4 linked regions of the Struthio camelus genome follow. The protein of the gene in region 4 purifies or fractionates together with the protein of the main gene of each other region. This does not show direct contact. Links are inferred from orthologs where the notes say so. Each region holds a gene or a part of one and is shown on either strand. Other genes may lie near its edges.

Region 1 (7,074 bases), on a different chromosome or scaffold from region 4:
AAGGACCTTTGGAAGTCATCTAGTCCAGCCCCCCTGTTCAAGCAGGTTCATTTAGAGCAGGTTGCACAGCACCCCATCCAGATGGCTTTTGATTATCTCCACGGATGGAGACTCCACAGCCTCTCTGGGCAACCTGTTCCAAAGCATAACCACTGCTCACAGGCTGGTACGCAAAAGAGCGCCCATTATATAACGACAGAAACACAAGAAGAGGTCTGCGTCCCAAGGAACAGAAATAAAAATCTCTACTGCAAACTGGACAAAGAGATCGACACCGCACATGAACGTTTACAATCAGCTGACACATATCACATAATAATCTTGTAGGATGCACCAAAAGAAAACAAAAAAACTCACCATTTTTAGCCCCAGAGAGAATATATTATTTCATCCTTTAAGTGCATTCGGATTTGTGAAGGAAAATAACGGCACGCTTACCTTGTTTCAAGTAATAAAGGAGTTGAAGACCACTTTGTAGTTAGAGATGTTGTCACAGCCTTGGAATCTCCTTTGGCAAGTGAAGAGCTGAACCAGATTCCAAGGACTGCAATAAGTATTCCCATTTTATAGGAAAAAACCTAAACAAGTCGGAGGAAAAAAACGTTAGTCTCACGTCATCTCTTTTTATAAATATAGAATCTCACATATCCAAATATATTATGACATAGTCAAGATTCAGTGGCCTGGTTTGTGCAATAAATCAATGAGATAATCATAGTATTTTTGATTTTTAAGCCTGGGGGGACTGTGAGCATGGAAAAAGAGACAAGGATTTTAAAATCAAACTCCTGAGCTGCAGTCAAACCTATTCCAGTTTCCTGTATATTTATTCTGTCAAATAAACTTGCCTTAGGAAGGGATTTTACAAACAGTTTATATTTCAAATTAGGTGGAAGATCAACCAACTAACTATTAGTTTTAGGATCAGTTAAAGTGATACTTTGTATTTGCACAGATGTATCAGCTGATGTACTCACCAGTGTCAGAAGGAGGAGGCAAGGTTAAGGTTCCCTAGTCAGCCCTTTAGGTTCAGCTGGGTACAGCAGACTTCCTCACTGGGGAATGAAGAAACAAGCATTTCTTGGATGCACTAAGTACCACCAACTCTAGAAACTGAAAAACGAAGGCCAATGGATGAATGAAGACAGACTCAAATGATACAACTTAGGGTGAGAAACAGGCCAGAAAAAAATAATGCCATTTCTTCTTTAACCTTCACTTGTACTTTCATGCCTACATATCCTCTGACCTCTTCACCACAGTGCAGCTAAGCGGAATTTCCCTGCTCAACTCTTAGGCTTAGCAAAGACATGAATTTTTCTGTTAGCTTTCTGTTTCATCCTTCAAAAACTTAAAAATTTTTGACTATAATATATTTACTCCACAGCCAAATACACGCACAGGCACTCTTTCACACTTTAATCTTTATTTTTCTGGATCGCTCCTTTTCTGTTTTTCCCCTCCAACTGAAAAAAAACAATCCAGTCAAATTCCAAGGATATCACAACTGATAACCTGTAAGGACCTAACTTCTGCCTCTTTTTTATGGTGCTATGTACAAACAATTTTTGCATACATGTTATATATCCGTACCTATAGTTCTATCTGTACATAAGAAGAGCTATAAAATAAGACAACCTCATCCTACTCACTTTAAAAATTACACTATTCCAGGTGTAAGTTCACGAGCAATCACTCACCCACTGCTCTTTCTGTATCTCAGCATCTTTCCTTCAGAATAAAAGTACAAATACCCCATTATAATACACCTTGCTCAGCTGCGTGCTAGACTTGTGTTATGCTGCAGCACGCCTGGGAAGCGGACCAGATGGCATACCATGACTTTGAAGAGCTAAAGCTATAACATATTGTTTGCAGAGGAGGAAGCCCGTCAATATTTGTGGAGTAAGTCCTTGACTTCCAAACACGACAAAGACAAGATTTGCAATTTCTCCCAGAATTTGGTCCTCCTTATCCGTTACAAATTTTACACAGTAGTTTGGAACATGCAAATAAATATCTCCTACTGTACTCTTCCAATAAAAGTCCTATGCTGCTCTTTAAGACCCGTGGGCCTGACTCCCTACTCTGTGAAAGACTGTAACAAAGACTCTGCTCTATATAATATAGAAAAAAGGACAGTTCATCCCATCTAAAGAGCACACGTCGGAGCACAAGCCTGTGACAGGCAGCTGACAGATATGGAGGAGATACCTCTGACACAGAGATGCAACACGCAGATCTTCAGGTGAGTGGTTTTAAGACAGCATCTTAATTGTTTTAGTTGACTGAAAACCTGCATATTAGCAACATCTATACACCCTGATTAATAGGGCCATAAAACAAAGCAAAGACCAGTATCTTGAACAAAAGTAGAAATACACCATGGAGAACAGAAGCGGTAAAAGGCACAGGAGTGAACGTAAATGACTTAAGGATGTTCAGCCGTGTTCTGCGCAGGATAACGAAGCAAACAAATAATATGAATTAAGACACTAAAGTGGATTTTTCAAGCTTGATTTGTTTTTTAAATATTTTTAGTCCTTATTTTTCCTCCAGTAAATTAACTGAAAAGACAGTTACCTCTGGAAAACGTGCACATCCTGCCTTAGAGAAGGAAATAAATCATCCCACGCTCACAAGCCCTGCCATATCGCGAGGGCACTAAACTTCATCATGTGCTACAGAGTGTGCCGAGTAAAGGTAAGCTGAAAAGGTCCTACTGCTTGGAAAGAGAAGCCAACTCCCAGTGCCAAGACCGGAAAACTAACGTAAGGTATCCACCCGAATCTAGCATTTGGAACAATTATTCACTGCGAACAGTGAAGATGACCAGAGTGTCATGAAGGGTTCTGTCAACATTTTTTAAATGTGGCTCTCACGTTTCCTTAGCACAGATACTGACACTAAAGCACGATGTTTAACCGACTAGTCCAAAATCACACACTGGAAGAGCTCTGATCAGCAATAATCTCTTTTAGCTCCTAGTCACCATCCAGACGGTATTCATAAGGACCTGATACGCAGCACACCACTTCTGCTGCGAACTGCAGTAACTGAATAACGACCGGTAACACAGACGTTCTCAAAGGTACAGGTGATTCACAAAAAAAAAAAAAGAAAGAAAAAAAGAAAAGGGAAAAAAAGCTGTTTCCCTCCAGCCCCCGCCAACACGGCGACTGACTGACAGACCATCCCTCGGGCCCAGGGAGCTGCGCCCCTTCGCCGGCGACGAACGCCGCAGCCGTCCGGGCAGGGCTGTCCCGGCGCCCGGCACCTGCTGCGCGGCTCCGCCCGCCCCGCCTCCCCCCCCCCCCCCCGCGCGCCCAACGGTTCCTGCCGCCTCCCCCCCCCCCCCCCCGCGCGCCCAACGGTTCCTGCCGCCTCCCCCCCCCCCCGCGCGCCCAACGGTTCCTGCCGCCTCCCCCCCCCCCCCCGCGCGCCCAACGGTTCCTGCCGCCTCCCCCCCCCCCCGCGCGCCCAACGGTTCCTGCCGCCTCCCCCCCCCCCCGCGCGCCCAACGGTTCCTGCCGCCTCCCCCCCCCCCCGCGCGCCCAACGGTTCCTGCCGCCTCCCCCCCTCCCGCGCGCCCAACGGTTCCTGCCGCCTCCTCCTCCCCCCCCCCCGCCCAACGGTTCTTGCCCCGTCCCCCCGCGCGCTCAACGGCTCCCGCCCCGGCCTCGCGCCCAGCGGCTCCTGCCCTCTCCCCCGCCCCGCGCGCCCAACGGCTCCCGGCCCCTCCTCGCGCCACATCACCGGCCCGGCGGGCGCGGGTCGCCGTGGTAACCGCACCTGCGAGCGGCCGCCACGCTCCCTTCCGCCTCTCGCCGCTGCCCCGGCTTCCGGGCGCTGCGCTTCCGCTGCCGGGCGAGGCGGCCCTCCCCGTGGCCATAGAGTTACAGCGGGAGCGGCGCCAGATTGTCGCCTGGCGCCATGTTGGGAGGGGTGGCGGCGAGCCCCCCGCGGCTCCTCGGCCTGCCGGCCGCCGGCCTGCCTGCCGCGGGGCTCTGCCGCGGCCGCGAGGGCGTTTGCCTGCCGGAGCCCCCGCGGCCAGGCCCCCCCCCCGGGGCGGTTTCCCCTTTCCGTGACGCGGCCCGCCATTGCCGGGGCCTGCCCGCCCGGCCCAGCCCCGCGGGGCAGCGGAGCCCGAGTTCCCTGGCACCGCCGACCGCGGCCCGGCACAGAGCTGCAGCAGCCGCGGCGGGCGGCTCTGAGAAGGCAGCGGTCAGTCCGAGGCGCCGGCAGGCAGAGCCCTAGAGGAGCAAGGGCCAGCGTCTGCCGAGCGGGCCGGTCAGCGGGACGAGGCCGGCCTTGTTTTCGGCCCTCTCCAGAGCCCCCGCACCGGATGTAACGTGCGGGACCTGCGGAGCAGCAAGTAAGAGCGGCGCAGGGAGAGCAGCGCTGCGTGGCGAGCGAGGGAGGGAGACAAGCTGGCTGTGCACACCCCCCGCTCCGAAATCCCTCGCGCCTTCAGCAGCCTTGTGACCGGCACGAGTCTCCTTTATCCCGTGCCGCCGTGTATATTGCTGCGCTGTTGTGCGCATCCCGTTCGCGTGCGGGGTCTCACGTCTTACGCTGACCCGTTTAGTCCGAGATCATGTCCCTAACGCAGCCAAGGGCCATAGGGCTAGGAAAGAGTGAAAGGCAGGGCAAACGCACGGCAGCGCTTTTCCAGAGTACTTGCTCAGCCTGGGTTTGCAGAGTTGGTAATTCCAGAGGCAGAGGTGGCATCTGCGTCGCGTCTTTCATGAGTTTGTCGAGTGAGCCGTCTCCCCCGTTGAAAGGACTTCCATGGCTCACTCGGGCTTTGTGTGGAGAACCACTTCTTTAGTTTGTTTACTGTTAGCAATGCAAGTATGAGAGGGGAATTAAAGCAGCATGGGACAGACACAAAACAATTGTTCCCTAATCACCTTCTTTATGCCATTCGTGATCTTACTGTCAGAAGTGCCCTTTAACAGTCTCTTTTCCAGGCTGAGGGTTCTGGCTCTGCTCGGGTGTTCCTCACACGCTCCATGGCGGGTTGTGTTAGCCACTTTTCTCTGAACCTTTCACAGCGTTACTAAGATCGTTTTGAGCCCCAGGGAGCAGAGTGGGGAGAGGGCAGAACGGCACATCTCCGAAGCTGAAAGTCCGGCCGGGCTGTATTAACTGCCAGGCAAGTTAACTTTGACAAGGCTGCGGGCAGCGTCCCAAGACCGAGGTCAAAGCCGCAGGACTAGTCGGTAGTCCTGGCTCGTGTTGGTCCTGCACAGCGATGCCCTTCCAAGCTGACCCTAACCACCGTCCACGCCCTCAGCTTTCTCAGCGCCCCTTTTCAGGTTTGTTCACAACGCAAGCACAAAGGCCTTGCAAAGCAAAATTAGGGATTGCTCAAATGTAATACTGTATTTAAAACGTTTTCTTTCTGGTTTAATTTTAAACCATGAACACAGCTCCGAAAACTACAGCTGATTGGCTGGCTGCATCTTTGAGCCTGGAGGCAGGAGAGCGCCGGGCGGTCGGTGTGGCCGCGCGCGCAGCGAAGCCGCCCTGGCTGAGCGCCCAGAGGCTTCTGTGCGCGTTGGGGTTCGGGAAGGAAAAGGGAGAAGCCAACCCCGTCGCCAGGCCGCACCGGCGGAACCGGGGCGCCGTGTGCCCGCCCGGGGCCGGGGCCGGGGCCGGGGCTGGGGCCGCCGCCGCCTGGCCTGCTGGCGCACGCACTACGTTTCCCAGGAGCCCCTGGGCGGCGCGGGCTGCCGCAGCCAATGGGGCGGGGGCAGCGCTGGGGGGTGGGGCCGGCCGGAGCCAATGGGCGGGGGCAGGCGCAGCGGCGGAAGCGGAGCTCGGCTCAGCTTGCAGCGTCGGTGTCACGGGAAGACGCAGCTACGGCTGCCGCCGAGGGTCCCGCCGCCGCCGCCGCCCGCGGGGCAGGTAGCGCCTTCGGCGGGGCGGCCGGGGCGCGAGGGGGCTCCGGGGCGGGGCTGGGGGCGGCGGCGGGGCGAGCGGCGGAGGAAGGGGGGGCGCCGCGGCCGCGCTCGCTCTCCCTCTCGCTGTGGAGGGGCCGCGGGCGCGGGCAGGGGCGCGGGCGGCCCCGCGGGCGCGGCGCCGTCTGGGGGGGGAACATCCGGGCCCTGCGCGCCCCGCACGGCGGAGACGGGCCCGGGGCGGCCAGGACCCGCCCCGATGGGCCAGCGCCGCCCTCCCTGCCATTGGCTCGCCGCCGCGTGAGGTCATCAGCGGGACGGCTCCTCACTGGCCGCCAGCGCTGGCGCAGGCCCGCGCCCGATTGGCTGGTGGGGCCGGGGCGCGCCGCATTGGCGCGGGGCTGGCGGGGCCGCTCGCGCGGCGCCCAATGCGGGGGGGCGGGGGCGGGCGCGGGGGGGCGGGGCGGGGCCGCGCCGCGCCGGTAGCGCCATGTAACGGTCGGCGATGCCCGCAGGTGCCATGAGCTCGCAGCAGTTCCCCCGCTCGGGCGCGCCGCCCGCCGGCCTGGGAGCAGCGCCGCCGCCGCCGCCCCTCCCCGCCAGCGCCGCCGCCGGCCTCATCAACCCCGCTGCTGCTGCCGCCGCCGCCGCCGGTAAGTGGGCGGCGCCTCGGGAAGCGAAGGCGGCTGCGCGTGGCGCCCCCCGCCGCGGTGGAAGGGCCGCGCGGAAGGCCGTTGGTCCCGGGGGGGGGCGGTGCGGCAGTCGGTGTAGTTGCCGGCCCTGACAAGCAGCGTTCAGCCCTGAACTGTTGCTTTTCTCCCTTTTTTGGGGGGTGCGGGGGGTTGACTGTCTGCCTTTCCTTGAGGTATTTTTCAGTATGTTTTTAGCAGAGGAACTGATTAGTGATTTAGGAACTCTTTCTACAGCAGCAAATGGGGCAGGAGCCCTAATCCCAGTCTGCGTTGGCCCTACAGGTTTTGCTAGGCTACCAGAGGTGATTTTTGGGTGGTGGGGTGGGATATAAATATGTATGCATATAAACATGTATATAACTTTTTTTGGTGATGCTTTGATGCTCTGATTGCTTTAATCTTCAGCTACTCCATGTACTTTTCAATACTATGTATTTAACGTGAGACTTCATGGCACTTGAGTGAGCATATGCTGT
Region 2 (7,333 bases), on a different chromosome or scaffold from region 4:
GCCCGCCACCGCCGCCGTCGCCCGCCACCACTGTCACCCGCCGGCTCACCGCGCCACCACCAGGAACTGGTCGATCTGCCGGTCGGTCAGCGGGTTGTCGGGGTCCCACACTTTCATCTCCATCTTCTGCTGGTTCCGGTTGTCCGATTCGCCTGGGGGACGGGGACGGGGTGGGTGGGGGAGCGCAGACCCCCCCCCCACCGCCTTCCTCCACCCCTCCCGGCCCCCCGCCGCCGCCTCACCCTCCGCCAGCCGGTCGGGGATCTCCGCTTGGTACTTGCAGCCGACCCGGATCTCGCCCTGGTCGGCCAGGAGGGTTTTCTGGACGGGGTCGAACACCAGCGAGTAGAAGAAACAGTCCTGGGAAGAGGAAGAAGAGGGAGGGAGGAAGGTGAGGGGGGCACGCAGTGGGCTGGGCCCCCCACCCCCACCCCAAAACGGCAAGGCCTCACCTCCTTCTCCAAGTACTGGCCCAGGATGTCGGTCTCGTTGAGGAGCGTCACGCTGCACTTCCCCCTGCGGGCGCACAGGCCGGGCTCACGGCCCCGCCGCCGGGGAGGGGGGGGGCGCCCCGCTGTCCCCCCCCGCTGTTGTCCCCTCCCTCCTTGTCCCCCCCCCCCGCCGCCGCACGCACCGGATGTGAGTGGCCGGCAGCGACTCGAACTGCCGGGAGAGGAAGAGCTCGCGGTGCTTGAGCTGGTGCCGCTGCTGCTCCGTCATGGCCGGCTGCTTGGACTCCTCCTCGAACTCGCCTGGGCGCAGCGCCGGCGTCAGCCCCCAAAGACGCCTTCCCCCCCCCACCACCACCCAAAAAAACACCTTCCGCCCCCCCCCCACAACCCCACCGCCGTCGGGGAAGGGGCTGCCCCCGCTTGGGTTGGAGGGGGGGACCCCCGGCGCCCCGCACTCACGCGCGTTGCTGTCGGCCAGGCTGTTCAGGCTGCTGGAAATGTCCCGCCGGCGGAAGAGACAAACCACCTTGGCCTCCACGTTGCCATTGGCGGTCTGCGGGGAGGGGGCGCTGAGCGGGAGGCAGGCGGGACCCCCCCCCCCCACACTTCATTTCACCCCCCAGGGCGGGGGGGAAGCCGGGCGGCCCCTCACCTTGTTGAGCTCCTCGATGCGCCGCACCAGGTAGGGGTTGCTGGAGGAGTTCTCAAAATAGACGTAGTCTGCGGGGAGAAGAGGCTCAGGGCGGGGGGCTCGCTGGGGCGGGGGGGCTCGCTGGGGCGGGGGGGGTGTCCCAGCGCAGCCCCCGCCCCGCAGGATGCCTCCGAAACCCGGGGGTGGGGGGGGCTCGCGCCCCCCGCCAACGCCCCTGCTGCGCGCGGGGGGCTCCGTCCGGCTGTTGGGGGGGGGGAACGGACCCCCCCACACACACACACATTGATGGGGAGGGGGCTCCTCTGCCCCCTTCGCGGCCCCCCCCGCCAGCCCCTCTCCTTTATGTCGCGGTTGTGCTCCTCTAACAGCTAAGGGCGCCCCAAAATGGGGGGATCCCCCCCCCAAGGATCCCCCTTCCTCCCCCCTCAGATTCCCCCTCCCCCCCCACAACGGATCCCCCTTCCCTCCTCTAACAGTTAAGGGGGCCCCAAAATGGGGGGATCCCCCCTTTCCCCCCTACAACGGATCCCCAAAATGGGGGGATCCCCCTTCCTCCCCTCACGGATCCCCCCCCCCGGATTCCTTCTTCTCCCCTCCGGATTCCCCCCCGATCCCCCTTCCCCCCCTCACAAATCCCCCCCCACAGACCCCCCCCGGATCCCCCTTCGTCCCCCTCACAGACCCCCCCGATCCCCCTTCCCCCCCTCACAGATCCCCCCTCACAAATCCCCCCCCTGGATCCCCCTTTCCCCTCTCACAGACCCCCCCCACAGACCCCCCCCGGATCCCCCTTCGTCCCCCTCACAGACCCCCCGGATCCCCCTTCCCCCCTCACAGACCCCCCCCCCACAGACCCCCCCGGATCCCCCTTCTCCCCCTCACAGACCCCCCCCGGATCCCCCTTCGTCCCCCTCACAGACCCCCCCGATCCCCCTTCCCCCCTCACAGACCCCCCCCCTCACAGACCCCCCCGGATCCCCCTTCTCCCCCTCACAGACCCCCCGGATCCCCCTTCCCCCCTCACAGACCCCCCCCCCACAGACCCCCCCGGCTCCCCCTTCTCCCCCTCACAGACCCCCCTCGGATCCCCCTTCGTCCCCCTCACAGACCCCCCCCAATCCCCCTTCCCCCCCTCACAGATCCCCCCTCACAAATCCCCCCCCTGGATCCCCCTTTCCCCCCTCACAGACCCCCCCCACAGACCCCCCCGGATCCCCCTTCTCCCCCTCACAGACCCTCCCCCCACAGACCCCCCCAGATCCCCCTTCTCCCCTTCACAGACCCCCCCAGATCCCCCTTCCCCCCTCACAGACACCCCCCCCCCACAGACCCCCCCGGATCCCCCTTCTCCCCCTCACAGACCCCCCGGATCCCCCTTCTCCCCCTCACAGACCCCCCCAGATCCCCCTTCGTCCCCCTCACAGACCCCCCCCGATCCCCCCCCGCCCTCACAGACCCCCCCCGGATCCCCCTTCGTCCCCCTCACAGACCCCCCCGATCCCCCTTCCCCCCTCACAGACCCCCCCCCTCACAGACCCCCCCGGATCCCCCTTCTCCCCCTCACAGACCCCCCCAGATCCCCCTTCCCCCCTCACAGACCCCCCCAGATCCCCCTTCCCCCCCTCACAGACACCCCCCGATCCCCCCCCGCCCTCACAGACCCCCCCAGATCCCCCTTCGTCCCCCTCACAGACCCCCCCCCGATCCCTCCCCGCCCTCCCGCCGCCGCCGGCCCCTCGCTCACCGCCGACGCGGTACATGTTGGCCGCCATGGCCGCTCGCTCGGCCGCGCTACCCCCGGGCCCGACCCGGGCCGCGCTTCATCGCCTCCCGCCGCCTCCCGCCGCCGCCGCCTCCCGTCGCCTCCGCACCGGCGCGACCCGCTCGGGCAGCTCGGGAGGGGGCTCGGCGCGGCCGCGGGCTCGGCGCGGCCTCGGGCCCTTCCGCAGCCGCCTCGGCTCTCTCCGGGCCGCGCTCGGCTCTTTCCGGAGACGCTCGGCTCTTTCCGGGGCCCCCTCGGCTCTTTCCGGGCCCCGCTCGGCTCTTTCCGGGCCCCCTCGGCTCTCTCCGGGCCGCGCTCGGCTCTTTCCGGAGACGCTCGGCTCTTTCCGGGGCCCCCTCGGCTCTTTCCGGGCCCCGCTCGGCTCTTTCCGGAGCCCCCTTGGCTCTTTCCGGAGCCCCCTCGGCTCTTTCCGGGCCCCCTCGGCTCTTCCCGGGCCCCCTCGGCTCTTCCCGGAGCCCCCTTCGGCTCTTTCCGGGCCCCTTCGGCTCTTTCCGGGCCCCGCTCGGCTCTTTCCGGGCCCCGCTCGGCTCTTTCCGGAGCCCCCTCGGCTCTTTCCGGGGCCCCTCGGCTCTTTCCGGAGCCCCCTCGGCTCTTTCCGGAGCCCCCTCGGCTCTTTCCGGGCCCCGCTCGGCTCTTCCCGGGGCCCCCTCGGCTCTTTCCGGAGCCCCCTCGGCTCTTTCCGGAGCCCCCTCGGCTCTTTCCGGGGCCCCTCGGCTCTTTCCGGGGCCCCTCGGCTCTTTCCGGGCCCCGCTCGGCTCTTTCCGGAGCCCCTTCGGCTCTTTCCGGAGCCCCCCCGGCTCTTTCCCGACCCCCCCTCGGCTATTCCCGACCCCCCCTCGGCTCTTTCCCGACCCCCCCCCCGGCTCTTTCGGGAGTCCCCTGGGGCCGCTGCGGAAGCGGCTCGGGAACGGCGGCGGCGAAGGAGGGAGGAGCCGGAGGGTGGCGGTGCCGCCGGGTTTTTATTGGGGCGGGCGCTAGGCGGGCTCGGGGCCGTCGGCGGGGCCGGGCAGGGAGCGGCGGCGCGGCCCGCCCAGCACCCGCCACTGGAAGACGCTGGTGTCTTTGCCGCCCAGCGACACCAGGTGCGCGTCGTCGTGGCTGAACCGCACGTTGGTCACGTGGCTCCCGTGCCCGCCGTACACGTGACTCGGCGCCTGCGCGCACGGCCGTCGGCACCGGCGGATGGGCCGGGGGGCGGGGCGGCGAGGCCACGCCCGCGCGCCGCCCTCCCTGCCTCCGCCCCCCCCCGCCCGCCCGCCCGCCCGCGCGCATGCGCACGAGCCTGCTCGCCCCGCGGCCGGCACGCGCCGCCCGCTCTGCGCCTGCACGCGCCCACGCGCGTCCTTCCTGCACGCCCACGCGCGTCCTTCCTGCACGCACGCGCACACGCGTGTCCTTGCTGCACACACGCACACGTGCATGATGTGCTCGTGCACACGCCCACGCGTGTCCTTCCTGCACGCACACGCGTGTCCTTCCTGCACACACACACACGTGCATGCTGTGCTCGTGCACACGCCCACGCGCGTCCTTCCTGCACGCACACGCGTGTCCTTCCTGCACGCACGCGCCCACGCGCGTCTTTCCTGCACGCCCACGCGCGTCCTTCATGCACGCACACGCGTGTCCTTACTGCACACACACACACACACACACACACACACACACACACGTGTCCTTGCTGCACACACGCACACGTGCATGCTGTGCTTGTGCACACACACACACGTGTCCTTCCTGCACGCACACACACACGTGTCCTTCCTGCATGCACACGCCCACGCGTGTCCTTCCTGCACGCACACACGCATGTGTGTGTCCTTGCTGCACACACACATGCACACGTGTGTCCTTCCTGCACACACACACACACGCGCGTCCTTACTGCACACACACGCACACGTGTGTCCTTGCTGCACACACGCACACGTGCATGCTGTGCTCGTGCACACGCCCACGCGCGTCCTTCCTGTACGCACGCGCACACGCGTGTCCTTCCTGCACGCACGCACACACACGTGTGTCCTTGCTGCACACACGCACACGTGCGTGCTGTGCCCCTGCACACGCACACACCTGTCCTTCCTGCACACACACACACACGCGCATGTGTGTCCTTCCTGCACACACAGGCACACACGTGTCCTTCCTGCACACGCACACGTGCATGCTCTGCTCATGCACACGCACACGCATGTCCTTCCTGCATATGCACACACGTGCATGCAGGCTCTCCTCGTGCACACGCACACACATGTCCTTAATACACACACACGCGCGTGCACGTGTCCTTCCTGCACACACACACACACGTGCATGCATGCTCTGCTTGTGCACACGCGTGTCCCTCCTACACACACGCACACGTGCATGCTCTGGTCGTGCACGTGCACACGCGTGTCCTTCCTGCACACACACATGCACACACACACACACACACACACGCATGCAGGCTCTGCCCATGCACATGCACACGTGTGTCCTTTCTGCGCACACACGCATGCATGGTCTCCTCGTGCACACGCACACGTCCTTTCTGCACACGCATGCATGGTCTCCTCGTGCAGACGCGCACACGTGTCCTCCCCACGCGCACACACGCACACATCTTTCTCGTGCATGCGTGCTCTCTTTGTGCACATGCACACGCGTGTCCTCTCTGTGCACACACGCTCTCCCCGTGCGCACACGCACGCGTGTCCTCCCTGTGCACACATGCCTGCACACATGCACACACACACACTCTCCCCGTGCGCACAACCATGCCCTCCCTTTGCACACGCGTGTGCGCGCGCTCCCTTTGCAAACGTGCTCCCGCCGCCTCCCCCCCGCAAACCTGTGCCCGTGCGCGTGCATGCACCGCCCACACGCGTGTGTGTGCACCCCCCTCCCCGCACACGTGTGCATGCACCCCCCCCGCACACGCGTGTGCGTGCACCCCCACCCTGCACACGCGTGTGCGTGCACCCCCCTCCCCGCACACGCGTGTGCATGCACCCCCCTCTGCACACACACGTGTGCATGCACCCTCCCCCTGCACACGTGTGTGCGTGCACCCCCCTCCCCACACACGCGTGTGCGTGCACCCTCCCTGCCCGCACACATGTGCGTGCACCCTCCCTGCCCCCACACGTGTGCATGCACCCCCCTCCCCGCACACGCGTGTGCATGCACTTCCCTCCCCGCACACGTCTGCGTGCACCCCCCTCCCCGCACACGTGTGTGCGTGCACCCCCCCTCTGCACACACACGTGTGCATGCACCCCCCTCCCCACACACGCGTGTGCGTGCACTCCCCTGCCTGCACACACGTGTGCGTGCACCCTCCCTGCCCGCACACATGTGCGTGCACCCCCCTCCCCGCACACGCGTGTGCATGCACCTCCCTCCCCGCACACGCGTGTGCGTGCACCCCCCTCCCCGCACACGCGTGTGCATGCACCTCCCTCCCTGCACACGCGTGTGCGTGCACCCTCCCTCCCCGCACACATGTGTATGCACCCCCCCTCCCTGCACACGCGTGTGCATGCACCTCCCTCCCCGCACACACATGTGCGTGCACCCCCCCACCCGCACACGCGTGTGCATGCCCCCCACCGCCCGCACACGCGTGTGCCCGGCCCACGGGCGCCCCGGGCTGACCTTGGGCCGGGCGCAGGGGTACTGGAAGAGATGAACCTTGCAGAAGTCGTCGGCCACGGCCACCACGCGCTCGTCGTGCGAGCGGCACAGCGAGTTGATGTCGGTGCCGTCGGAGCCGTCGGGCCAGACGCCTGCGCGGGGCGCCGTGAGCGCGGCCGGGGGGCCGGGGGGGCGGGGGGGGGGCACACGCACACGCGTGCACGCGCGGGGGCCCTACCGAAGACGTGGAAGCCCAGCACGCAGGTGTAGGTGGCCCACTCGCGGTCGCGGCTCTCGAAGCGGTTGCGCAGCAGCTTGCAGCCGCCGGCCACGTCCCCTGCGGGCCGGGGGGGCGGAGGGAGGCGCCGGCGGAGCGTCCCCCCCACCCCACCCCGAGCCCCCGCCTTGGAGCCCCCCCCCCCAGATCCCCCCCTGAGCCCCCCCGAGCTCCTTGGAGCCCCCTCGAGCTCCCAGAGCCCCTCTGAGCCCCCCCCGGAGCCCCCTTGAGCCCCCCCAGAGACCCCTTGAGCCCCCCCGAGCCCCCTTGAGCCCCCCCGAGTCCCCCAAGCTCCCCTGAGCTCCCTGGAGCCCCCTCGAGCCCCCAGAGCCCCTCTGAGCCCCCCCGGAGCCCCCTTGAGCCCCCCGAGTCCCCCCGAGCCCCCTTGAGCCCCCCGAGCCCCCCTGAGCACCCTGGAGCCCCCCCAGAGCCCCCAGAGCCCCTCTGAGCCCCCCCGGAGCCCCCTTGAGCCCCCCGAGCCCCCCCGAGCCCCCTTGAGCCCCCCCGAGTCCCCCAAGCCCCCCTGAGCTCCCTGGAGCCCCCTCGAG
Region 3 (7,589 bases), about 4.3 Mb from region 4:
ACAGCAATACATAACAGAGAAAGGAATTGCTAAAGTGAAAAGAACTAAATTAACCTCAGAGCTGACAGTGAAATCTGATGCACTGTGTTAGATGCAGTGTATGTTTCTTCAAAAACTTAAGAATTTTATTTGAATGTGCAAACGAATTTATTAACAACACTAAACGAATATAGTCTCTTTCTACAGAGCAGCTTTTTACAAACTGGCTTTTATTTTTAAGTAATTTTGTCTGCTTTGTACAACTGTGAAATGATTCAAACTTGCACTAAATAGAAACCACAGGTATTATCTCCTTAGCATTGTGCACAGTGGCTTTTTTTCATGCTGACATTTTGAAACAGTGGTATTGCAGGAACAGTCACTTCTTACTGTAAATTCTGAAATCTGTATGACAACAGAAGTCAATAGCATTTTGGTCTATTCCAGACTTTCACTTGGGTAAGATAAAATCACTGCTGCGCCAGCCCAATAACTCAACCTATTTCTTCTGAATACTAGCATTGCAGCTATCATTACAAACATGACCGTTGTTTCCATGCACCTTCAGCTGCACGTCTTGCCTGTTGCCCTGACAGGGAAGAAAATCTCATTCTCTGCTCCTGAAAAGTGCAGAGTAAGGTATTTTGTAAGCTGTTGAACTAGAAAGACATAACCAGAGTACAATATGCTGCAGCCACATTATCTCCTACCCAGACTTTTTTTGTGAGAGGAAAAAAAAAAAGTGTACTTGTAGTTACATAGATTTTCCATATAGGGGATGCCCTGCCCGAAAGAACCCACAAATAACAACTGTTCTTTTTCCACAGAAAAAGAAAACAGAGAACAAATTTGACTCTACTGAGGCTTTTTTTTTTTTTTAGTTTGTTATTCTCCGGATGTATCCCTTGATATTTACCTGCAGATAAGACAAACATGCAAATCAATCACAATCAGGACAACCTCCCATCCCATTCTCCAAACAGTGGCCAAATTTCTCACAAGGAGAGAAGAGAGAGAACTTTTGGACTGACAGAGATGCAAGTTTGCCAAACTCGCTCATTATTTCCCAAGATTAGAGAAAGCATCCATAGGCCCAACTAAGTAGCTCTGAAACCCCTGTTAAAAAACCAGGACCAGGCGTTATTACAGATAATCTGATTAAGTTTGGTGGAGCTAAAAGGATTTCAGTTTTCCAAGTCCAGGAATGACTCTGGCCCTCCCACATGAACTAGCACTACCTTTTAAGTTAGCCAAAATCATATTAGCAGCACTTTTAGAAGATCTTCAGACTTAGGCCTAAAATATTTTTGTCACATTCTTATGCTTTTTTTCTTTCCTTTTTCTGAACAGATGTAGCTGGGTAAAACTAAACTAGGTTTGTAGGTAAAACTCTACAAACCTCTGCTTTGGCCCAGTTTCACATTAGTGGCTGGAAGAATACATATTAAAAGTATAGGCTAAATAAGAGATTAACTTTATTTAATACAGATTTAGAGTGCTGGCTCATAACCAAATCACCACAGGTTGCACAAAGAACTTGGTAAGCAGTCCAGCCATGACAAAGAATTCAAAATACTGCAAACAAGCCTATGCACTTCAGACTTTAAGAAAACTTACAAAAGCCTGTTCTTATGTATCTTCCTGGGTAATTAGGAAGATAATTGAAAGAATCCATTTACAATAGCTGTCTTCTGAGGTGCTTTATTTAACCTCTGAAAGGCCTTAACGGTCTCTTCTTACCCAAATTTAAGAAAGCCTTCTATTATAAAGGGAAATTACAGTATATTGTAATCTCCAGTTCTTATGCCATAGGACCAAATTCCTACTCACTTGTACAGTGGGTTGATGTCATTTGGTCTCTGCTGCATATTTCAAGTAATAAAGCTATTCAGTAGTAGATCCTATCCTATTAGGATACCAGCAAGAATTAGAAATAAAAAAAAAATACCACAGCTGAGAGAGTTAGGCAGAATGGATTTAATTCCCATTTAACCTGCAATTTGGAAGAAGCGTTTTTTTTGACTAAAGTTGACGGTAACTTGCCACAGGACAGATTTTTTTTTCCTTTCCCCTCCGTGAGCTGTTATCAAAGGGAGCACAGCTAACTTCCTCATCCAGTCGGCGAGCGCTGAGGGCCAGCCGGGAGCCGGCGCGCTAGCGGGGTAAGCCTGCGCCCTTCCAGCCGCGCCGCTCGCCCGCGGCTGACATCCTCCACGCGTGGGCGGTGCAGCGAGAGCCGTGGGATTTCCAAAACCCGATTTCTGCATTCGCCTCGCCGGGAGCGCGACCGCTGGGCGCCGCGGCGGGGTCAGGACAAACCTGCCGGGGCTGCTGGACTTGACAGCGCTGCAGGTAACTCAGGCGGGAGGACGGACGGACAGATGGACACCTGCCCGGGCTGGGAAGGCGGGGGATCGGGGGGGGGGGTTCACTGCTGCCTCTCTGGCTTCGGAGTCTCGCACTGTACCTCTCGCTCAGAGAGGTATTTCCTTTGGGGGGGGGGGGGCACAAAAACCGACAGAGCCGGCCCGCAGAGCGCCCCACGCGCGGAGGCGGGTTTACCTGCTGGCCGGGAGCCCCGGCTGGGCTGGGGCCGGACGGGGCCTAGCGGGGCCGGCAGCGCCCCCCGGGGCCGCGCCCCCCTCCCCCCCAACCGCGCGCGTGTCCCACCCCCGCCGCCCCGCCCCGCCCCCCGCCGCGGAGCCGGGCCGGCGCCAACAGCCGGTCCGGGCCGCCGCGCCGGGCGCATGTGCGGCGGCGGCCTCGCCCGCCCTCCTCCTCCTCCTCCTCCTCCCCCCCCCCCGCGCCGTCCGGTGCCCGCCGCGGCGCCCACCTTGGCACTGCGTGTCCATCTCCCGCAGCAGCGACACGTTGCGCTGGATATCCAGCGGCAGCGACTCCACGCACTCCAGGTAGTCCTGCACGTAGAGCGAGAGGAGCCGGGCCCGCTCCCCGCCCGGCGCCGCCGGCCCCGCCACCAGCTGCGGCCCCGCCAGCATCATCCCCCCGCGCCCGCAGCACATGCACCGCGCTGCGCTGCGCTGCGCCGTCCGGCCCGGCCCGGCCCGGGGGCGACCCCCGTCCCGCTCCCCGCGGCCGCCGCCCCTTTGCCCGGGCTGTGCCGCGCTGCGCCGCCGGCCGCGCCGCCCCGCGGGGCAGGGAGCGCGCCTCGGCCTCGGCCGCCGCTGCCGCCGGCTCCCCGCGCCCCTTCCCGCCCCGCCGCCGCCGCCGAAGCAAAACCCACTTGGAGCCCCCGCCCCTGGCCGCTAGGTTACGCGCATGCGCGAGGCCCTGCCCTTATAAGGCGCGGCTGGAGGCGCTGCGAGGGGTTCGCATTCTCCCGCCTTCCTCCCTCGCCCGCTCCCAGTGGCCCGGCGCGTGGCAGGGGGCGGGAGCCACCGCGGAGGCGGAGCCGCTCTTAAAGGCGAAGGCGCCCGCGTTCGTCCCTTCCCCGCCCGCCCCGCGCCCGGGGCGGAGCGGCGCCGGCGGCAGGCGGCTCCCGCTGCCCGCGGCAGGCGGCTCCCGGCTGCCGGAGCTTCCCCGCGTCCCCGCCGCGCGGTGGCGGCGCGCAACCAAGGGGTGGCAGGCGGGCGGCTGGGCCCCGCCCCCTTCCTCCCCGCCAGGTGCCCCGGCGGCCGCCGCGTGTGGGCGGGGGCGGGCGGCCGTTGCCTGGGCGGGGCGGGGCGGGGCGGGGCAGGGCAGGGCAGGGGGTTCCCAACGGCCGCGGCTCGCTTCGCTCAGCGCTGGGGCGTCGCGGCCTGGCCGTGCCGGGCCCCGGGCTACTTCCCCCCACCTCCCCCCCCGACCCCGGGGGCCGCGGGCGCGCTCAGCCCTGTTTCTAGCCGCGTCAGCTCCAGGCGCGGTGGAAGGGAAGGCGCTGCCGGGGGCGGGCAGTCCCGTTTCACCTTCAGCTTCCCTCAGCCTCTGCCCGCCGGCCGGCGAGCGGGCCGCCGGGGTTACGAGCGTGGCAGGTAGGGCGGGCTCCGCCAGGAGGAGCTTTAAACTCCCTTCCTCAGTCAGCACCCCCCTCTCCCCCCCGCGTTTCTTCACGCTGCCCCAAACGCGCCCCCTCCTTGCGGCGGTTGAGGAACTTAAGCGCTCGTTCCAGCTGTCGCGCGTGGCGTTTGTTTGAACGCGCAGGCGAGGAAACCGCAAGCTGGGTTTTCAGCCGTTATCCAGACCCTTCCCAATTTCTGAGGAAGTAATACCAAATATAACCGAGCAAGCACAGGGCTGTGGGGGTGGGTACACTCCTTTTAGGAACTCACGCTCGTATGGTGCTATGAACATATCAAGAAGGCAGTAGATGTCACCTTTTGCAACTTACAGGCTCATACCAAAAGACTGGCAACTCAGTAACAGGTCAAAAAAGTTGATGTTTACTGCCGTTTAAGTTTTTTATGTGATGCTAAAGCCTTACCCTTTCTTTGCACTGCCCTCTCACTTGCTTGGAATGCTTTTTGGCATATGAAATCGTAATTCGTCAGTGCTGAAGCTTAATCTCTGAAAGCGCTCCTTTGCAAAGGCGGTGTGCCTGAGAGGAGGGGAATGGGAGTAAGTTTTACTGCAACAAAATTTATATGCACATTAAATTGTTTGCAGATGGTGTGTGTATTTATCTCCCGAACATTATTGTGAGCTATATTTGTTTCTGTAACAATTTATTTCTGAAGAGCAGTTCTCATCATGAGGAGAGGTTTGTACCAACAGCACGGTTACAGACTAGATGCAGGGAAGGTAGGTTACTTTCTGTTACGCTAGAGTGTGCTCCAAAGGCAAGTTTTTATCACAGTAGCAGTTGATATGCCGAGACATCCAATTAATTCATCTCCCTGAACTGTAAGAAGCAGTGGTTTAGACTGTTCTTGCCCACAGTAAGAGCTACCTTATTTAGCTTTAAAGAGCAAAATAATGATTCATGATAAACTATTACTTATGGAAGTGCAGTGACATTTTATCCTGAGGAATCATTTGAGAGAATTTTAAATAAGGCGTCAAAGAAGTTTAGTCTTTTAAAACCCGCTTGCCTGCCAACAAATCTCCAGTTTTGACAGAGTATCCTTCCTCCCCAAGGGCTGATGCAGAATTTGTATCAAGTGTTGGCCACGATAAATATGGTAGGAAATACAAGTAGAAATATATGTACTCTTGAGCTCTAGTATAATTGGGAAAAATGGTATCAAGTAGTTTTAATTACTAAAAGATTGAGATTTCATCCCTATCACCCCTTCAGACATTTTAATGCCATCTTTACTGCATGAATAATAATTGGTGAGCATCAGAAAAAAAATCTTGTGGAGTCTTGAAACATAGCCAGGAGACCTGTACCTTTTGCTGTATGTTGCATTTATATTTCAGGTACCTGAAAAAAAGGGAGAAGACAAATATGAAATCTTGCAAGCTTTGAAAAAACAGCATCAGAGGTGACTGAATTCAAGGGGAAAAATAAATACCTTATGTCTTACTTTCCTGCATGTCGGTAAGCAGCCAGTACTAAAAGAGTACCTATATTAATCCTACAGATAACATTTCAAGATGGAATTAATCTAGAGTAGTGGTTGAGCACTGATACAGGTTTCCCAAGAGGTTATATAGTTTCCATCCTTAGAGATTTTCAGAGCCTGGCTGGACGAGGCCCTGCACAACCCAACTGAACTGTGAAGCTGGCTGTGCTTTGAGCAGGGGACCGAACTAGATGACCTCCAGAGGATCCCTTCCAGTACGCTTTTTTCTATCACTATGTGAATGTGTGATCTGTGCCAGATGGCTAATCCTGTGACAAAATGAGTATGTTGAACCTCAGATTTCCTCTGACGAGCAAGGTCAGCATTTCGCGTGGTGGCACTCTGCAAGTGTTATTTTCTTAAGACTCCAGTCTTACGAAAATTTTCTTAAGACCCCAGTGCAGGAAAGTATTTAAACATGCTCTTAACGTTCAACTCCTGCAGCTGCTAAACTGGTTTCCCATGTAACAATAATTTTCTGAATCTATGTCTTAGATGTTGAGTAATTGTAGCTGTAGATAGACTTCTTTTTCTCTACCAGAGCCAGCAATGAGTTGGCAAATATATAAAAATGAATCAAAAACAGTGATTTGAAAATACTGTCTACAACTTTGTTATGTCGGTGATGTCACTCACTCTGGCCAAGAACACAGGAAGTCTGCAACTCAGTATATTCACGTTCTTAAGAGTACACTGTAACATTAAAAGCCATATGCCAGTAAAACTAGATCCTTGTCTTCTGTCATAGCTTGGATTAATGAATTTAAATTTCAGATCAGATTGTGCTGTTTGTCTAATTTTTGAATAAATGGACATAGAAAATGAAAATAATCTAGCTACTTTCAATTCCTTTGACAGTAAGTTGCTGAAACTTTATTCTACAGTGATCATTGCTGTCGGTTCTGAATCACTAAAATCTAGTCAGTTGAATTCGTTCGTATGACATGAACAACAAATGGCACTTACTACCCAGGCAGAAAGAATTACTTAATAGTGCAAAAGAACCCGGATTAATATCAGTGATAGAAAGTTCTGTAGAAATATGTTGGCTATTTTCTGTCTATAGTAAGCTCAAATATCTGTATCATTCTACCACCTCATGAAGAAATCAAACCAAGAAACTGAAAATTACACTACAGAGCAGTAAAATGAAGCAACAAAAGTTAATTAAAAATTAACATGTGAAAATAAACATTTAATTTTATTTAACGTTTAATTACAAATTTAATATATTTACTTGGCATCACTTTTTTCTGACCAGAAATTATATATGCACCGCTGGTAAAGTAATAGTCAAGAAAGTCGTTTTAGAATAACTCGTAGAGTATATTACAGGTGGTTTCTGTGCTGGAAACTTGCTAACTGTTTGTCACTACGGGGGAAGCAGTATCTAAGGCACAGCAGAGATCACCTCGTGTTTCCTGAAATTAAGTGTATTCCACTGCTTTTGAACACTAAATAACGATTTAAATTTTGGGCAATTTGAGAATGCTTTGGTAATATTAAACGAGATTTCCTTGCCAAAAAAAAAAAAAAAAGCCTTAGCTTACCACATGTTTGAGGTTTTGAAGGAAGGAAAGGAAAAACGGCAGGCTGAATCCTCTGGTTTGATAATGCCTCAAAATGACTAGGAACAAGCAGTGGAGAACTTTAATGTATGAGAGAACTCTCAATTTGCAGGTTGATAGCCACCTCCTCTGGGACCCCACTACATCGCCTTTTTGGATGACAGTTTGTGAGAATCATCTGGTGATAAGAGAGGCACAGTAGAGCAAAACACCTTTATTTGTCGAGATGGACAGGCAGAAGGGCTCATAAGTTAAATCAGCTGCCTTCCAGAAGTCCTGCTGATGACAAGGCAGCTTGCCAAACTCTAAAATGGCTGAGACTGCCTGGTTCCCATTGGGTTTAGGAAACTGCTGGGTGTAGGCACCCAGGCAGGGCAGGTGCCCAGATATCCGTATAGGTAGAACCCAACCACTGTAATTATTTCTGGAAGCTAGTCAAGACTGGCAATGGGATTCATGCATGCAACTGCAATAGTTACCACTGACCCTCTCCACTAAGTGAGGTGTTGTCAACGTGAGGTAAACATTTGCAGTGGAA
Region 4 (6,954 bases):
AAAAAAGTTTGCTTTTTTTGTTCCAGAAATGCTCATAAGTTGTGACATGTTTTAGAATTCTTGTACTGAAAAGCAAAACAGGCTTGCTGAAGAGTGGCAGTTTCCACTGTGCCAGGCAGCTACCTTAAGTCACATGGCACATTAAGTTTAGACAGAACTTTCAGAAAAGTGATCCAACGTATTTAACAGCCAAAAACACAGGCTAGCATCAAATCATTCCCAATCCCCCAAGATCCTCCCAGTCAGAGCCTTCAAGCTGGAGCTGCATGTCTTCAGGCAGCGACTCTTGCAAAGTTGTATTACTTATGTGGCTGATGTATGCAGATTTGGGCTATGAGGATGCCATCAAAGTTACATTCAATGAGCAACATCCAAAACATCTTGAAAATCCCTTAGAGGAACTAGGTTGGAATCACAGCCTCTGCTCAGAATCATCACACTGAAGAGCACCCGCTAAACCAGGCTCCAGCAGAAATAATCCAGTACACACGTAGGAAGAGGGCTTTAGGTCATGGCATGCTTCTTACAAACCTAGTGCTTTCTTCCCCCAACACTACGAAAAAGGTTCAAAAGCTGCAGTTCACTTTCAAAATAAGTGACAATGTTTCACAAACCTCCAGTGGAGAACACAAACAGGGAGAGGGCTATCCTCCTCCTCTCCTTTCCTGCCTGACTCTGAGTGTCTCCTCCCTGAACAGGGGACAAAAACCATAGAGCTATCCTCATTAGAGTTAGACTAGAGCAACAGAGTAGCTGCAAGAACTATTCTGCAACACGTTTTCACACCCAGAAAGAAATGATTGGAGGGACAGGAGTAGTGAAGCATTTATATCCCAAGTCCTACGTGCAATTCCCTTAAAATTGTCAGCTCCTGCAGAAGATAGATTTTGCTACTATGTGGCAAAGCATCACTTCTAGTAGAAGTCTGGAGAGGAAGCATCGGAAAGAAAAAGTTGAAAACAGTTTTTTTGAGAAAACTAGCAGATAATGAGAAATAAGCCAAGAGTTTTGTTCATTCTAATCTACATGATTAATACAGAAGATACTTCATAAAACTCAGTCAGCTCCTGTTATACTAAGGACTTAATGAGTCAGGAGTCTTCTGTTTTCCCCATCCCCCAAAATAAGGAAAGCTGTAACAGTGGAAAAGCAGCATTAGTGCAGACCTGGTAGTCATTAAGAAAAAGCTTAACATAACAATTAGAAAACAGCTATTTAGCTACCTCTGGAGTGTCGATGTCTTGCACCGGTGAGTCACCATCATCATCACTGCCTTTCCTCTTCCTTCTATTTCTCACACTCTGAATTAAGTTTTTGTGGAAGTCACAAATATAAAGATGTCTTGCCTGAAAGAGTAATGCTGCATCTTTCAATCAAATACACACACGTATCTGCTCAACTTAAGATATAAATGCACATACAGAACCAACCCTTCAGCAATCACAGTCACGTTAACTGAGTTCAGGAAGCTTTTCTGCTCGATTTCACTAAATAAGGTATGTGTTACGCTACGGACGACTGCCACCCGCTTAGCCTAGAGAGCGGGGAAGTGCCGCAGCAGACTGATTCAGTAGTACCGGACTGCAGAGGCACATGAATCTCCACGGCCGCTCGTCAGCGCTCAGGCATCAGGCAACAAGAGTGATTCAGTCGTTCTTCTGAACGCCCCAAAGCGGGAGGACTTCAGCTCTCGTTTCCCATCTGTACTCCTTTGTTTCACTTCCACTGCCTACGCAAGGTCAAGCGGCACATACGCTTTCTTTTTTTCTTTTTTTTTTTTTGGATAAAGTTTCCTTCTGGAAGGACCCGTTCATTTCGAAAGCAGAGTTCTTACTTATGTGCAAAAACCGTTTTTTTCCAGAGCGGTGAGCGCCGACTTTAACCGGAATTAAGGACCTGAGCGGGGCTAGGTTTACAGGGTGACAGCGCAGCGCGGCCGTGAGGAGGGGGGGGGGGGCCGCGGGCGCAGCGCTCCGCGCCGCTGCGCAGCCTCGCCGGCAGCAAAACACGCGGCGGTGCGTTTTCAGCCGTTTTGCCTCGGGGCGCCGGGAAACACCTCGGCCGCCCCTACCCCGGGCCGGGCCGGGCGCCCCCAGCCCCGCGCTGCCCCGCGCAGCGCTGCGCGGCGGCGCCTGATGGCTGCCGAGCGGAAGACGCAGCGGCGAGAGGGCAGACGTGCAACGCGACGGCACGAGGCGGAGCAGCCAAGCGCTGCCCTCGCCAGAAGCAGGCGCGGACGGACACCGCGGGAAGCGCGGAGGGAGCGGGGCAGGGCGCGCAACCCCCCCCCCCCCGCCCCGCCGCGCAGCCCGCCAAGGGCGCTTGAAGGCTGAACTCGTGCGGCGCCAGCCAAACTCCACGGCGTGCCGAGGAAGGAGAGGGACGGACCGCACCGCTCCGGAAAAAAGGGGGGAAAAAAAACAAAAAGGGAGAAAACAAAAAGAAACGGAGCCGTGGAAAGGACGGGCGAGCCCCGCGCCCCTCCAGCCGGGCCGGGCGGCAGAAGGGCTGCGCTGGCCCGGGGCAGGGGCCCGCTCCCCCCTCCCCCGCCGCCCGACTTACGCTCTTGTCCAGCTCGATCTTCACTTTCTTCTGCGAGATGCTCTTCTGGATCCGCTTGCTGAAGCTGGCGTTGCCGGCGGCCCGGCCGCACCGCTCCCCCTCCTCGCGCAGGCAGCACAGCTGCCCGGCCCCGGGGCCGCCCGCCCCGCCGCCGCCACCCGCCCCGGCACCGGCACCGGCACCCGCGGCGGCCGGACCCAGCCCCGGCGGCGGCAGCGGCGGCGGCGGCACCTCCACGGCGGCGCCCGCATTGCCCACGACGGCGGCGACCAGGGCGGCGGGGTCTGCCCCTCGCTGCGCCGCCTCCTCCGGGGCGAACCCGTTCATGCCCGGCGCCAACTCCGCGGCGGGGGGACCCCGGCCCGCACCAAACTGCCGCGGCGGGAGCGGGAGCGCTGCCGCCCTCGGCCGCGGCACCGGGGCGCGACCCCTCCGGCCCCCCCCTTCACGGGCGGCGAGCCCGCGCGCTGCGGGCACGCACCTCGCCGCCGGCAGCCCCCGCCTGCCGCTCTCCGCCGAGCTACCGCGGCCCCGGCGCCCCGCGGGTCGCGCCGCTTCCTCCTTCCCCCTCTGTCATGTGGAGACTTTTCAGCTGTTTCCTATGTAACAACAGCAACCTGCCCGCGGCTCCGCCCCCTCCCCTGCGCATGCGCGCTCCCCCGCCGGTGTATGTGTATGTTTGTGTGGTGGTGGGTGGGGCGCGGCGGGAACTGTAGTCTCGCTCGCCGCCTCCCCCTCCGCGGCCGGCGGCGAGGGAAAACTACAGTTCCCGACATGCCCCGCGGGGGAGCCGGAGTGCCATTTTACGGCGCTGCGGACGCGGGAGAGGGGGGTTGGGGGTGGTTGTTGGCTGTTCTCCGCGCTGGCGGTGGGCGCCCGCTCGCCGCTGCGCTCCTTTTCCCCCGCCGCCAGGTGGCCGCGCCCGGCCCGGCCCGGCCCGGCCCGGCGGCAGCGGCCCAGATCTGCTTTTAAAAGGCCCTTGTTCGCCTCCCTCCTTTCCTCCGCCGAGGCCGCGTGCGGCCGTTGAGATTTGAAATGTGCGGGGCGGTGCGGCGGCGGGAGCGGGCGGCCGGGCCGGCCGCTGCGGCGTTTCCCCGGCTGGGGCGGAGGAGGGTGGCGTTTCTCTCTGAGGGGCAGAGATCGCCACTTTCACTTGCTGAGCCGAGTGCGTAAACGTACTTCAACCTCAAAAGGTTAAGACACCCTTGCTTCCTATTCGCTAACGTCTGTGTTTCTGCAGCGCCTTACTTCTTCGCTCTCTTCAGCGGTGCCTCGCCTTTCTTTTACTTTCTCTGGCTGTAACATTTCAGCCTAACTCGCATTTCCTTGGATGGTTTTCTTGCTTGGTTTTTCTAGTTTGTTTTGTTTTCTTTCTGCCGTACGTCTGTGCATATCTCGTTGCCTCTTTTCTTTTTCAGCCTTTTTCCAGTAACGGTCGGAGAACAGATCCCGTTGCCCTGGACTGAATGCAGAGTGCTTTCTGTCATGTGCGGTGTTGCCTTGCAACTGGGAGCTCTTTGAGAGCCTCTGTACAGCCTGTGGCTTTGAGTCTGTTGACTGAGAATAACTGACAGTAGTCCTTTATGTTAAAGCCGTTTTTAAAACGGCTGCAAGGGGAGCCTAGCCTTGCGATAACTTCATAAAGATCTCTTAAGCCAATGTACAGCGCAAGCTTCCAATTTTACTATTTAAACGGGCTTTTGGTGAATAAAGATGACTTTAGCAACAACAAACTAACACTGCGTTATCTTTTGCTAGTGATGAACTGGGACTTTGCTGTGTATAAGACCAGCTAAAATAGATATTGTGAAAATACTTGTTAAAAGCAAGTATTTTTAGTTTCAGGAATTTGCAAAACCACATGAGAGATGCATTAGCATTAAACCAATTGCTAGTGCTGCTGTTGGCTGCGGAGTGACAGAAGATGCAAACTTTTGATGCATTTTTCTTCATGTGCTTTCAAAGTATAGGCACTGAATGAATATTGAGTTTCGTTTTGCTTTCCTTTCAAACTGCCATGAATATTCCCTTAAATCTAAGAAATGGTATCTGAACTGACTGTACTCAAAGCATGATGATTTAATCACTCAAATATTCAACCATATCAGTTACCATGCATTTTCAGTTTGCAGAATCAGAAGAGTAATGGAGAAGTCAGTGAATGATTTGACAAGACACAGATCCCGTGTAAGCCAAAGTTCTAAGTGAGCCGGGGAACACGATTAGAACGCAGCTTCAGTTTGTGCTGCAGATGGCTTTTTAATCTGATTACATAACCTGGTATTATAGAATGTGGGTAGGTTCCCACTTACACTTCGAACAGTGTAATTGAATGAATGATACAGTAAGTAAAAAATTGAGCATAGAGTCACAGACAATAGAGAAGGCACATTTCAAAGATTCAGAGAGATTAGAGTTCAAAAAAAATCCAAAGCTCTGTTTTGTTATCAACTGAACAGAAGTCTAAATGAAGTATCTGGGTATAATCTGTATAATCTCAGACAACAGACATCTAATTCACTTTTTAAGTTTCCTATGATTTGACCCTTTTAACAGTTGCAATAATAAAATATTAAAAGAATGGTAGCAGGGCTTACCTAAGGAAAGTACAGGCTAGGAAAGCTGGAGCAAGGGTGAGTTCCAGGAATTCTTCAGTGGAAATCTGTGTCATGAATAGCAAAACCTGCAATTTTACACTATGTCTTTTGAGACCCATCTTTCTTTAGATTGTTTTCACCTTACTGTGAGCACAAAGCACACCAGGCTAGGTAAAGAGTGGTTGAGATTTGGCATAGTAGGTTTGGTTGGTGCAGTTTCATAAGATGGAACGATCAGTAGCGCATTTTAAATCTGTATTCCCAATTATCTTGGTATCATCTGTGAACAGTTAAAGACCTTATTACATTAATCAGCTATGCTGGCCAGTATGTTAAATTATAAGCTGAATTTCAAAATGAGTAGTGTCATAGTTTCATTATCATGATAAGGCAGTAGTAGGGCTGAGAAAGACAGTCCTCCTTCTGCCATAAGCCGCTCATTTTCACACCCAAGCCCTCCATGCCCTTCCTTGTGCCTGTAAAAGCATTTATACAGCTGCAGAGCAAACTGGATTGGGTTAAAACTAGCCCAGCAGAAAGAAAATCAGTTAAGTTTAAGCCTGATCTCCTTTACTGCTCAATTGCGTGATGTCTTAGCACAAAGGACGATCCAACAGAAGGGCAGGACTGCCTGACTAGCACCAGAACAGGGAAGGGCCACCTTCTTTGGTATCAATGCCAGCTTAAAATAATTCAGAAATCACGTCATTGCATTTTTTTATCCCACATACTGTACAAGGTTAACAAAGAGCTGCAGATAGGTGGGCTTATCAGGCAGAGTAAAAATTCCATCTACAGGATAGATTTTCCAAATTGCATAGTTAGGCCCTTTGGAATAAAACAATGTCATAGATGGATTCTGCTAGATTGCATTTTGTGCAAAAGTATGATTTTATAAAATTAAGCTCTGGCAGTGTTTAATAGAAGTATTTAGATATAACTATATTATATATATATGTACTGGGAGATTGTAAACAAATATCCCTATCAAAGTATGCATTATTGGAACAATATGTATTTAGAGCAAAAGTTTGAAAAACTAAGCTGATCGCATGGAAATGGCAGCTCCAAACTAGTAAATTTTTGTGTAAGACTTCACTAGCATTTATGTGCCATATTCACACGCAGAGTTGAAAATTAAGGCAGTAATAATCTATGTCATAGATGCCAAAAATGCATTATAGATAACTTAAGTGGCATGCAGAAGGAACAGGAGCTACAGTATCTTGAAAAGGGCATCTGTTCAAAGCAGCAGCTCCCAGGCTCCAAGTGCATGCAGCAGGACTCAGTGGCCCTTGCTGGCACAGAGGGGAGCCAGGCACCGGTGGGAAAGTGAGCAGCTTATGCCTCTTTGACTGCCGTCTGTCCCAGCTCCTGTTAGCTTTTGTGCTTAACTTGTAATTTGAGAACAAAAAATGATAAGCAGACACATCACTTTGGATAGATTGCTGGCACGCTGTAAATGTATTATGAGTAATCGTGGAAAGGAAATGTGTTTTGTAGCTATATATATATCTTAATACGATAAGGGTTCAATTAGAGGTGACTCTTCCCTTTAGGTACCCTTTAGGGACCATTCACTAGGAGTCCAGGTATACTTTACTGAGTGTTGTGCTGCACCTCAAATTATCCTGTTGGCAAATGTTTTAAAATAAAATCCTTAAAATGGTTTAACAATTCTGCACATTCCAACACATCCTGTGTTGGATGTATATGATTCAGGTAATACAGTAAGAGAGAAAATCATGCCATTAACCAAAATGGTTAAATTGGTGCACAACTGGTATTTCCTGGT

What was found.
Region 1: the proteins of SAP30 (region 4) and SAP130 purify together in Homo sapiens (affinity purification with mass spectrometry; 4 studies listed by BioGRID and IntAct, with this or other methods). This does not show direct contact. The link is inferred for Struthio camelus from reciprocal best matches to the Homo sapiens genes SAP30 and SAP130.
Region 2: the proteins of SAP30 (region 4) and MTA2 purify together in Homo sapiens (affinity purification with mass spectrometry; 3 studies listed by BioGRID, with this or other methods). This does not show direct contact. The link is inferred for Struthio camelus from reciprocal best matches to the Homo sapiens genes SAP30 and MTA2.
Region 3: the proteins of SAP30 (region 4) and ING2 purify together in Homo sapiens (affinity purification with mass spectrometry; 3 studies listed by BioGRID and IntAct, counting the BioPlex papers as one, with this or other methods). This does not show direct contact. The link is inferred for Struthio camelus from reciprocal best matches to the Homo sapiens genes SAP30 and ING2.

Annotation. Positions count from the first base shown.
Region 1 is NC_090950.1:6,535,394-6,542,467, reverse strand, and holds the start of SAP130 (histone deacetylase complex subunit SAP130), read left to right. Parts: upstream 1-4,064; 5' UTR 4,065-4,375; intron 4,376-5,057; 5' UTR 5,058-5,257; coding exon 5,258-5,321; intron 5,322-5,779; exon of another isoform or gene 5,780-5,913; intron 5,914-6,421; coding exon 6,422-6,559; intron 6,560-7,074. Other genes in the region: UGGT1 (UDP-glucose:glycoprotein glucosyltransferase 1), read right to left, coding at 439-563. UniProt on the Homo sapiens protein: Acts as a transcriptional repressor. May function in the assembly and/or enzymatic activity of the mSin3A corepressor complex or in mediating interactions between the complex and other regulatory complexes.
Region 2 is NC_090976.1:523,448-530,780, reverse strand, and holds the start of MTA2 (metastasis-associated protein MTA2), read right to left. Parts: upstream 3,008-7,333; 5' UTR 2,877-3,007; coding exon 2,849-2,876; intron 1,173-2,848; coding exon 1,105-1,172; intron 1,006-1,104; coding exon 912-1,005; intron 753-911; coding exon 635-752; intron 517-634; coding exon 453-516; intron 361-452; coding exon 243-360; intron 153-242; coding exon 50-152; intron 1-49. Other genes in the region: EML3 (echinoderm microtubule-associated protein-like 3), read right to left, coding at 3,862-4,041, 6,530-6,660, 6,747-6,845. UniProt on the Homo sapiens protein: May function as a transcriptional coregulator. Acts as a component of the histone deacetylase NuRD complex which participates in the remodeling of chromatin.
Region 3 is NC_090945.1:50,693,068-50,700,656, reverse strand, and holds the start of ING2 (inhibitor of growth protein 2), read right to left. Parts: upstream 3,016-7,589; 5' UTR 3,003-3,015; coding exon 2,813-3,002; intron 1,886-2,812; exon of another isoform or gene 1,832-1,885; coding exon of another isoform or gene 1,810-1,831; intron 1-1,809. UniProt on the Homo sapiens protein: Seems to be involved in p53/TP53 activation and p53/TP53-dependent apoptotic pathways, probably by enhancing acetylation of p53/TP53. Component of a mSin3A-like corepressor complex, which is probably involved in deacetylation of nucleosomal histones.
Region 4 is NC_090945.1:46,426,786-46,433,739, reverse strand, and holds the start of SAP30 (histone deacetylase complex subunit SAP30), read right to left. Parts: upstream 3,002-6,954; 5' UTR 2,890-3,001; coding exon 2,563-2,889; intron 1,347-2,562; coding exon 1,224-1,346; intron 1-1,223. UniProt on the Homo sapiens protein: Involved in the functional recruitment of the Sin3-histone deacetylase complex (HDAC) to a specific subset of N-CoR corepressor complexes. Capable of transcription repression by N-CoR.